Tribolium castaneum: one gene and its partners. Each later gene encodes a partner of the first gene's protein in a complex. Links are inferred from orthologs where the notes say so. Each region holds a gene or a part of one and is shown in the gene's direction. Other genes may lie near its edges. The genes, in order: l(2)37Cb, crn and 116 kDa U5 small nuclear ribonucleoprotein component.

Evidence for each region.
Region 2: l(2)37Cb (region 1) and crn share a complex: the UniProt entries of both Homo sapiens proteins name them as parts of the minor spliceosome. The link is inferred for Tribolium castaneum from reciprocal best matches to the Homo sapiens genes DHX16 and CRNKL1.
Region 3: l(2)37Cb (region 1) and 116 kDa U5 small nuclear ribonucleoprotein component share a complex: the UniProt entries of both Homo sapiens proteins name them as parts of the minor spliceosome. The link is inferred for Tribolium castaneum from reciprocal best matches to the Homo sapiens genes DHX16 and EFTUD2.

The regions. Positions count from the first base shown.
Region 1 is NC_087398.1:7,190,236-7,193,990, forward strand, and holds the start of l(2)37Cb (pre-mRNA-splicing factor ATP-dependent RNA helicase DHX16), read left to right. Parts: upstream 1-1,481; 5' UTR 1,482-1,642; coding exon 1,643-1,995; intron 1,996-2,043; coding exon 2,044-2,360; intron 2,361-3,755. Other genes in the region: T-cell activation inhibitor, mitochondrial, read left to right, coding at 1-412, 460-560, 668-811, 861-992, 1,040-1,274. UniProt on the Homo sapiens protein: Required for pre-mRNA splicing as a component of the spliceosome. Contributes to pre-mRNA splicing after spliceosome formation and prior to the first transesterification reaction.
Region 2 is NC_087400.1:96,396-100,150, reverse strand, and holds crn (protein crooked neck), read left to right. Parts: upstream 1-1,063; 5' UTR 1,064-1,161; coding exon 1,162-1,200; intron 1,201-1,254; coding exon 1,255-3,231; 3' UTR 3,232-3,259; downstream 3,260-3,755. Other genes in the region: Nle (notchless), read left to right, coding at 1-857; protein OPI10 homolog, read right to left, coding at 3,473-3,755. UniProt on the Homo sapiens protein: Involved in pre-mRNA splicing process. As a component of the minor spliceosome, involved in the splicing of U12-type introns in pre-mRNAs.
Region 3 is NC_087401.1:10,807,705-10,811,359, forward strand, and holds part of 116 kDa U5 small nuclear ribonucleoprotein component, read left to right. Parts: intron 1-3,327; coding exon 3,328-3,655. UniProt on the Homo sapiens protein: Required for pre-mRNA splicing as component of the spliceosome, including pre-catalytic, catalytic and post-catalytic spliceosomal complexes. Component of the U5 snRNP and the U4/U6-U5 tri-snRNP complex, a building block of the spliceosome.

The DNA.
Region 1 (3,755 bases):
CAACATCGATTTTTCGAAAGTGAACGAAAACGACCCGATCTTTGGCCCCATTGTCATGCGCCAAAAAATCAACGAGGCCAAAGAAGCCCTCAAGTTACGCAACTGGCTGGTTAAGAACTACCAAAGTGCCTTAGAAAAACTCGAAGCCAATCGGCCTCTACGCGAGGAGGTCGACCGTTTGCGCAAAAAAATCGCCCAACAGTGGAAGCTGACCGACGTCCGCTGGGACTGCGGCTGGAATGTCACCCATTTTCGGGGCTGTCTGCAAAGCTTTATGTCTCTGGCTGAACAACATCCGGAAGTTATGCACGTTTTGAAGGGCCGCACGCTGGTGTTTGCACCCTTTACAGGGATCAGCCTAGAGGGGCACATCATGCTCAACAGTGGGGAAGTGCGGCACAATTGGCTTGATGTAAGTGAAAATTTGAATGTGGTTTTGAAAGTAATTCTTGACCACAGTTGATCAAAAACGTGAGAAAGCACGACAAAATCCTATTCCGAATTCCTGGTTTTGAAAAATCCGTCTCGCAAGTCTTGAGAGGGATCAAAGTTGGCAGGAGGTAAGAATTCTCATGTTTCACATATAAAATTTAGTCGTCAGTTTTTCTCAGACTTTTGGTTATTATTGATTGGATTTGAATTAATTTAAAACGATTTGTTTTTTCAGAAAATTTATGCCGAAAGTTTTGGCGGGAGAATACGAGCGAAACCTGCAACAAATCACGACTTCTTTAAGTGACTATAGAGGAAGGCGGGGGTTCCCTAAGCAGTGGCCCCAGTCGTTAGAAGAATTTGAGATTGTTGTTGAAACGTATGAATTTTTTTATTTTAATTTAATCATAAATGTTTTATTATTTTAGGGAAGCTGGACCTTTGATGGTCTCTCCCACTGGTCAGTTTATAGTCCCGTCTTCCCTACCTGGATTTTTGTTAGTCAATTTTATCACAACCAATTTAGAACACGCCAAGGAAAAAATGACTGAATATAAAAAGTTTGTGAATGTTTTATTTTGATTCCCGTTAATTGTTTCTATTTCAGCGATAAATACATAGAGCGGTCTTTGCAAAAACAATGCATGGATGAATTCAAGTTATTTAATCTTAGGAAAGATGATAATATAACACCGGATTTAATGATTAAATGCTGTGAACGGCTCTTAGAAAAAAAAATTGATATAGAACAATATCTAAACGGTATACATTTAAACGTAGCTACTTACTACTCTGTTCTTTCAGATGGAGTGGTTTGTATACCTTGGAATTGGAAATTGTGATAGTAGATGCGAAAAAAGACCAAAATTTTCACTTCTTCTAGGTAAAAAAATATTAACTTGTAAAATTATGTGATAAGAAATAAATCTATATTAAATACAAGTATTGGTTTATTTATCCCTGTGTCACAGCCTTTTAATATTTTAATAAATTGGTTTGAATGCAATCACTAAAATCGCATTCTCAAAATTTCGGTGCCACCGGACTTGTAACCTAACCACTTGTCAAGTTTGTTTTGACATTTAGAGGTTATGTTGTTGGTGGAAGAATGTAAAATTCAGTAAAACACTCTTTAATTAAGCAAAAAACTACACATATTAGCGAGGCACAAGTAAAATTTTGTAGTCAACACTTGCTGGAGTGCCTCACCATGGGCAAAAAAGACAAGAAGGGGCGTAAGCGCTACGAATCGAGCTCGGACTCCGAGTCCGTGGACAGTGAGGAAGAAGCTCGTCGTAAAGACCTGAAAGAACGTGACGAGTTCGCTAGTAGACTCAAAAAACGCGATGAAGCCAAAGTCCGCAACATTGTCCAGGCCTCAGACCGGCGCGCTTACGAGGAAGCCGCCAAGAGACTCAAACTGGAAACTGAAGACCGCGAAAAAATGATCCCCGCCTTGAGGGTGCAGTCAAGACGTAAATATTTAGAGAAACGTAAAGATGATAAAATCGCGGAATTGGAGGAGGATATCGCTGACGATGAGTATTTGTTCGAGGAGGAGATGTGAGTTGGTGGAATGATTTTGCGGTAAATGCCAACCTGAGGTTTTAGATTAACAGAACGTGAGAAAAAGGAGCGCGACCGTAAGCGGGAATTGCTGCGGTTGGCACAGGAACATGAAAAAGCGCGTGAATTGGAAAGGGTGCAGCGGTACCACATGCCCAGGGATTTGGGCAAGGGGTCAACAGCGGACTATGTGGAAGTTGATGAGCTGGAAAAGGTGCCCCAGTCGGAGCAGAAGAAATGGGAGAAGGACCAAATGGCGTCGGCGGTCTTCAAGTTCGGGGCCAAGGATTCAGCCAAGAAGGACGAGTACGATTTGTTGCTGGAGGACCAGATTGACTTCATCCAAGTCTTGCAAATGCCAGGTCTCTATTTTTTATAGTATCTTATGATACTTCGTCCCAATAAATGGAACATTAATTGCGTCATGAGCCATGAAGTAACAAAATGATAATTCGTAAAAATTAATTCTGAAAAAAAAATTTCGTATCTTACAAAAGCACAAAAAGCAGTAATAACGTTTCATTTGAGAGAAGGCTAATTAATTGAATATTAGCAAAAGTATGTAGTTTTGTTGGCTAAACGAAAAATTGAGGACTAGAATATTTTCATAAAATTATTACGGCAAAAGAAAATAATTTACTATTTGATGTCTCACAGAATTTTTATTGGAAGAAAATAGATAAAGAATCGTCCAAAATAAGTCAATTTCGGCTAGAATACGGCTTTTCAGCCACTTCTCAAAGAGTTTTCTCGTTTCTAAGCAAGAAATTGTACAAAATGAATGGTTTTCGTCCGAACTAGTGCATACACCGTTCTTTTGAGCTAGAATAAGGCGTTTTCAATCTTCTTTTATGCGTTGTTTTTTTGTTTTTAAGCAAAGAATCGCCAGAAATAAACCGTTTTCATCCAAATTATAACATAAATAGTTGTTTGTTTCCGGCTAAAATAAGCCGTTTTCAACCACTTCTCAAAAAGTTTTCTCGTTTGTAAGCAAAAAATTGTACAAAATGAATCGTTTTCGTTCTAACTAGTGCATAAACCGTTCTTTTGAGCTAGAATAAGTCGTTTTCAATCTTTTTTTATGCGAGTTTTTTGTTTTTAAGCAAAGAATCGCCAGAAATAAGCCGTTTTTATCCAAACTATAACATAAATCGTTGTTTTCGGCTAAAATAAGGCGTTTTCAGCCACTTATACAAGAATTTTCTCGTGTCTAAATAAGAAATTATACAAAATGATTTTTTTTTTCGTTCTAACTAGTGCATAAACCGTTCTTTTGAGCTAGAATAAGGCGTTTTCAATCTTCTTTTATGAGAGTTTTCTCGTTTTTAAGCAAAGAATAGCCAGAAATAAGCCGTTTTCATCCAAACTATAACATAAATCGTTGTTTTCGGCTAAAATAAGGCGGTTTTCAGCCACTTCTCAAAGAGTTTTCTCGTTTCTAAGCAAGAAATTGTATAAAATAAATCGTTTTCGTCCAAATTAGTGCAAAAAAAACGTTCTTTTTATCTAGAGTTTTTTCAATCTTTCGTTTTTAACCAAAGAATCGTCAGAAATAAGCCGTTTTTATTCAAACTAAAAATAGAGAAAAGACAAAGTATTGACTTGCATTTGACCTTTTCAGTTCATAGTAGGTAGATTTAATTAAAATAATTGCTCTGTATTTCTAAAAAGTAGGCATTTATTTTTTTATTTCTCTGTAATCTTCTTACAAGAACCGATTTAGCACCTGTTTAAGAATCATTTGGATACTTTTTCAT
Region 2 (3,755 bases), on another chromosome or scaffold:
AAACTCTAATTGGGCATAAATCATGGGTCACGGCCCTGAGTTGGGAACCCTACCACCAAAACGCCGAGTGTCGCTTTCTAGCCTCGGCGAGTAAAGATTGTGACGTCAGGATTTGGGATACGGTCCTGTGTTCTTGTACTAGGGTTATTTCTGGGCATTTGAAAAGTGTGACTGTGGTCAAGTGGGGCGGTCTGGGGCTCCTTTATACGGCTTCGCAGGACCGGACTGTTAAAGTTTGGAGGGCTAAAGACGGTGTGTTGTGTCGTACGTTAGAAGGGCACGGTCATTGGGTCAACACTTTGGCCCTCAACACTGATTATATCCTCAAATTGGGGGCGTTTGACCCAGTCAAAGACACCCAAATCCAATCACAAGACTTCGTCCTGCGTCGTTACAACGAAATCGTTAACCCTATCGGTGATGAAAGACTCGTCTCGGGCTCCGATGATTTCACTTTGTTTTTGTGGGCCCCCTCAAAAGACAAGAAGCCGTTAAATCGGCTCACGGGGCACCAACAATTAGTTAACGATGTGAAATTTTCACCAGATGGTCGCATTTTTGCCTCGGCTTCGTTTGATAAGAGTATTAAATTATGGGAGGCCAAAAGTGGTAAATTTATTTGTACGTTAAGGGGGCACGTACAGGCTGTTTATGTGATTTCGTTTTCGGCCGATTCTAGACTTTTAGTGAGTGGAAGTGCCGATTCAACACTCAAATTGTGGAATTTGAGGGAGAAGAAATTGGAAATTGATCTGCCAGGTCATGGGGATGAGGTCTATGCGCTTGATTGGGCCTCAGATGGCTCCAAAGTGGCCTCGGGGGGTAAAGACAAAGTCTTAAAGTTGTGGCAAAATTAAATGCAATAAAATTTTGTAATTTTTCTCGAATTTTATTTAAAAAAAAAACAGAAAACTGTAATTGTGCGCGACATGTGGCGTCACCAGTGCAAATCTACAAATCCAATAATACAAAAACTGGCTTGCGGAGTTTAATTACTTACGTAAATTATTGTTTAATCTATATTACAACAAACAAACACTCGATCAAAATTTAAGGCACGATATTTCACAATTTGTGTGGTCCAAACATAACCACAAAAAATCGTAAGGTTATGTTCGTGTTTGTTTGTTGTGCTACAAGTTGGTAAAAGTCGCCCCTGAGATGGAAACCAAGCCGCAAAAGATGCCCAAAGTGGCCAAGGTACGTTATTTACCTTCTCTTTCAACTTAATAACTAACTAAAATAATTTTCCAGGTGAAAAATAAAGCCCCTGCTGAGATCCAAATCACAGCCGAGCAGCTCCTTCGCGAGGCAAAAGAGCGCGACCTTGAGATTCTCCCTCCGCCCCCTAAGCAAAAAATCTCCGATCCAGCTGAACTTGCCGACTACCAACTCAGACGCCGTAAACAATTCGAAGACAACATACGAAAAAATCGAACTGTTATCTCCAATTGGATTAAATATGCCCATTGGGAAGAATCGCAAAAGGAAATCCAACGAGCTCGTTCGATATTTGAACGTGCCTTGGATGTGGACCATCGTAACGTTACCATTTGGTTAAAATACACTGAAATGGAGATGCGAAACCGTCAAGTGAACCATGCTAGAAATTTATGGGACAGAGCCGTCACGATTTTGCCCAGAATCAACCAGTTTTGGTACAAATACACCTACATGGAGGAGATGTTGGAGAATGTGGCTGGGGCCAGAGCTGTCTTTGAACGCTGGATGGAGTGGCAGCCGGAGGAACAAGCCTGGCAAACGTACATCAATTTTGAGTTAAGATACAAAGAAATCGACCGTGCGCGAGAAATCTACGAACGCTTTGTTATAACACATCCCGAAGTCAAACACTGGATTAAATACGCCCGATTTGAAGAAAATCACGGTTTTATCAACTCGGCCCGCTTGATTTACGAACGAGCTGTACATTTTTACGGTGATGACCATTTGGACGAAAAATTGTATATTGCATTTGCACGGTTTGAAGAAAACCAAAAAGAACATGACCGTGCTCGCGTTATCTACAAGTATGCCTTGGACCATCTCCCCAAAGAACAAGCGAAAGAGCTGTACAAAGCCTACACCATACATGAGAAAAAGTACGGCGATCGTTCCGGTATTGAAGATGTGATTGTTTCGAAACGTAAGTTTCAATACGAACAAGAGATACTCGAAAATCCGACCAATTACGACGCTTGGTTTGACTATTTGAGACTGGTGGAGGGGGAAGGGGACCTTGAGACGTCACGTGAGACGTATGAGCGGGCCATAGCCAACGTGCCACCAACGAAAAATAAACAATACTGGAGGCGTTATATTTACTTGTGGATTAATTACGCCCTGTTTGAGGAAATCGAAGCGGTTGATTATGAAAGAACACGTCAGGTTTATAAAGCTTGCCTTGACTTGATCCCCCATAAGTTATTCACGTTTAGTAAAATTTGGTTGTTGTTTGCACAGTTTGAAATCAGGCGGAAGAATCTGATTGGTGCTCGTAAAATTTTGGGGACTGCCATTGGTAAATGCCCACGTGATAAATTGTTCCGTGGGTATATTGATATAGAGATACAGTTGCGTGAGTTTGACCGGTGTCGTATTTTGTACGGGAAATATCTAGAGTTTGGTCCGGAAAATTGTGTGACTTGGATGAAATTTGCCGAGTTGGAGACACTTTTGGGGGATTTTGAGCGTGCTAGGGCCATTTATGAGTTGGCAATCGCTCAGCCAAGGCTAGACATGCCTGAGCTGCTCTGGAAGGCCTATATCGATTTTGAGATCGGGCAAGAAGAGTGGGCTAATGCCCGACAATTGTACGAAAGATTGTTGGAGAGGACAAGTCATGTGAAAGTTTGGTTGTCGTATGCGAAGTTTGAGTTGAGTTGTGAGTCGGATATGAATATTAGTTTGGCAAGGCGTGTTTATGAGCGGGCTAATGAGAGTTTGAAGAGTTATGGGGAGAAGGAGGCGAGGGTTTTGTTATTGGAGAATTGGAAGGAGTTTGAAAGTGCAAATGGGAGCGAGGAGACGAAGGAGAAAGTTGAAGGGAAAATGCCAAGGAGGATTAAGAAGAGAAGGAAGGTTATTGATGAGGATGGTGTTGAGCAAGGATGGGAGGAGATCTTTGATTATATATTCCCTGAGGATGAGGCCAGTAAACCCAATTTGAAGTTATTGGCAGCTGCCAAAAGCTGGAAGAAGCAGAAGCAAACGGAAGAACCGGAACCGTGATTTTGAGAAAATAGAATTAAGGTTTAAATTTTGTTTTATTCCCCTTTTGTCACTTATCCAAGCGCTATCTGGTCAACGATTTTGCACTGCAACAATTAATTTTTTGTGGGCAAATGATAAGATAATAAAAAAATCGATACTTTATTCATTTAAATACATTAAAAGCGAGTGAGTTTTGAGACTTAACAGCCGCCATAATCCAGCTTTGATGAACACAAGACACACGTATGCACACATTCCTCTACGTTTTCCAAAAATTGGGGTTTTGTTGCAACCGTCGTTCAAAATTCGTGTACCAGTTCTGTACTGTAGCCAACGGAACGTACGTGGCCGTGGGATCTGGGACCATTTGCGGTTGCGTCACCGTATAACTCAGCACAAAATTCATAAAATTCTCCAACATTTTCTGAGCAAACGTGACATTATTACTGGGATTATTCGCCGATTCGATTTCCCGAATATTCGCCAGCGGCTCAATAGCGATCCCTATTTGCGCATTGTGTACGATGTGACTTTGCCCGAAT
Region 3 (3,655 bases), on another chromosome or scaffold:
GACTCTTGCATAAACAGAAATACAACTTCCTTATTTGTCAATGCTTTTGAAGATACGTTCGATGAATAAAGAGATGGGGTTTATAATTATAAAACCTAGAGTTTTCAAAGATATGAAATTACGATTTTCTTGTTTTTTAAAATTGTAATGTTCTCATTTTTTTGATATTAAACGGTTTTACAACGTGAGGTTTCTAAATTTTATTTATTTTATTTAGGGCTAATAGTTCATTAAACATTAGAGTTTTAATTTTATTTTTCATTTTTATCAATTTTATTTAAAAAAATAATTCGGTAAAATGCGTTGTTGACATTTCTGTCGTTTTGAAACAGCTGGTAGTACCAGTTAAACTGTTTGCAATTTATTTTTGTTTCACATAACGGACGGGACAAAAAAATCTTGTGTGTGAAAATATCTCTAAAAAAATATTCAGCCAGGTTTTTTAATTATTAAAGACTAACATTATCAAAATTAGACAGAAATTAAAAATTTTTGGTCTTGGTTAACGACGTAAGAAATAAGAACCACAATAACGGACGGGACAGCAAAAATTACGAAGATATAAAAATAATATTACTAATCAATTTACTTACCGATTTCAATTTTCTACCAGAAACTAGAAAAATACTCTTCAAAAGATGTTCAACACTTGTAGTACGTCAGTATTTTATGTTCCCGTCTACAAGACAATGTACAGGGTGTCCCACCGAAAAGTGCACCCCCTCGTAACTTTTTTATTTATTAATCAATTCAAACAAAATTTAAATTACATATATTTGGACCAAAGGTCCACATTTTAATGTAACCATTTTTTTTGTAAATTTTAGAATTCACTGAATTACTTCAATTTAAATGATTATCCTTTCCCATTTTAAATCCACAACAAAAAAAAAACTCTTGTCACAAAATACATTAAATATAAACCGAATTCTTAATCGAAACTTAACATTACTACGATAATTTTGAAAATTTCGGTGTCATTATTCCTGAAATGGTTGATAATACGAGTAATTAATTGCATTTCTGCATGAAAAATGCGTTAAAATGCTCGTAAAATCATTTTTGATTTTAATTTTTAATGAATTGTATAGGTGCGAATATAATGGAAAACTCGTAAAATTACAATACTGGGTGAGTCATAATTAAGTCTACAATTTTATGAGGCGAAACGAGATATAAAATACCCAAAAAATTAACACAGCTCCAAATTATTTTAAATCAATTTACATTTAACTAATTTATTAATCGTGGAATAAAAGCACAAATATTCTTAATAAACTGACGAAAATCGAACAACAAATATGAGAAAAATATATTTCTATTAAAAATTTCAATTTTGCGCTGTGTGATATTTTTCAAAATGCTGCGAATATCGTTAAAAATCCATGAAAAATTTCCTACAAAAAGTTCTCGGTATTTTTATCTTTAATTGTGTGCTGTGGTGCCTGTGATTTTGTGTTTTTAAAGCAATTTAAACCGATACGGTTGAACATAATTGTATACTTTGTCCCTTATATTTTATTGTGTCTTTTACCATTTATTTATTTATTCATTTATTTATTTTACCATGAGGTTAAAACATCATGCGATTTTCTAAAATTTTGATCTAGTTATCCATGACAGTTACTTTAACTCGATGTACATTACGGAAATAAGTTTCCAACATATTTTTTTTATGTTCTTCGGTGAATATTTTGGACATATTGACAGATAAAGCGATGCTGAAATTATTTACGCAATTCGGAAGTAAAATTACCGTTGGGGGCGCCACTGAACTAGGTCGAAAACAGTAACCATAAATGGAGGGAAAATGTTTATTCGGATATTTTGAGCGTTGTACGAATTTTGGGGCTTCACAATTATTACATTGCCTATGCGGAATGATTATTGCATCTTTGATGCAAGAAACTTATGTTGATAAATGAGAGATGACGAGGAAAACACGAATAACGAATGACTGTTTGGTTCACTTTCTTTATTGGAAAATTATTACAAAGACATTGAAAAGCCTACCTTTTGGCATAATTTACGTTTAAATGTATCAGCAGTTGTTAATCTTTATTGTAGTTTTGTAGATTTACCGCAGCATTTCATGATTTTTTCAGTGGAAAATTCTAACCTAAAATTCACACACTTCACTAATTTATTGGTTTCTTGAGCCAAACTTTGTGTTCGCTGTGATCCATTACTTATAATCTTTAATTAGACAACTGTTTGATAACACTTTGTAATCAAAATTTAAATATTTTTCACTTTTTATCCACTTTCAAGTTCCAACAATAAACACTTTATACCACGAAAAACTACAGAACCAAAGTCAACGCTAGTATTTACCACCACGTACTTTTAAAGTGATTCTTTCTATTGTAAGTAATTAACACTATACACGCAAAATTGTTGAACAATTCATTAAATGTCAGTTAAATGTGGCATTACGAAAATTTCTTTACTGTTTTCGACATAGTTCAAAAGTCATCACCAGAGGGCGTCTAGTTAATTTTATCTCCGAATACGTTTCACTGTTGGCGTAACTGTCATGGATAACTAGATTAAATTTAAAAAAACGCTTGTTTCTTTCTTTGTTTGATTTTCTGTATTTTTTCACAACTTTTACCTTTAACTATTGAGAATTGCTCTAATGGTCTGTAATTTTTTTAGCTGATGTCGATAATTTCTAAATTAACTGAAGTTTTCCGATTTTTTAACTTCAATTTACTTCTCGGGGCAGTTTACATATGGGCGTTTAGTTCAAAATATTTTGTCTATTGGGTAGATTTTTATTTTTCCAATTTTTAGATTTATTTAAGAAATGTGTGACTCGAAAACTATACGCTTTAGAGCCTTACATGAAAATACTGGGAATACATATTTAAGTTTCTGGAATGACGTTACATAAGAAACATAAATAAGTTCGTTTGTCCGGAATAAAATGGAACTTGTTAAAATTTAAAACAAAAAATTACTACGTCCTGTCTTTAACTAAATTACTATTTTTCTAATTAATTGATAAGCATCTGCTTGTCATAACACTCATAATATAACATAACCGTCGTAATGTTTACCATTCGCCCCCCCTCCAAAAATAACAACAAAAAACAATTAAGCCCTTATCAGATTCGTTAATAAACCCAGGAGCAATTTTTTTGCGCGTCTCAACCGCAATAAATGAGGTAACCAACGAGTTGTAAAATCTCGTTTAGCCCCAAGGCCGTTCATCTAGAGATAAGTTCCATGACCTCGACTAATGAATTAATGATAACGAGTTGTTTACTACGTCTTGACTTTCAAAAATTCTAAAAATACCGCATTATTTAATCAAAATTCCAGATACAAAATCGAGCTAAACCGCGTCCCTGCCGGCAATTGGGTCCTAATCGAGGGCATCGACCAATCAATCGTTAAAACAGCCACAATCACAGACCTCACAATCTACGAGGACTTGTACATTTTCCGCCCCCTTAAATTCAACACCCAAAGCATCATTAAAATCGCCGTGGAGCCCGTCAACCCTTCGGAACTCCCGAAAATGCTCGACGGGCTCCGAAAGGTCAACAAATCCTACCCCTTGCTGACCACAAGGGTGGAGGAGTCAGGCGAGCACGTGGTGCTCGGCACCGGGGAGTTGTACCTCGACTGCGTCATGCACGACTTGAGG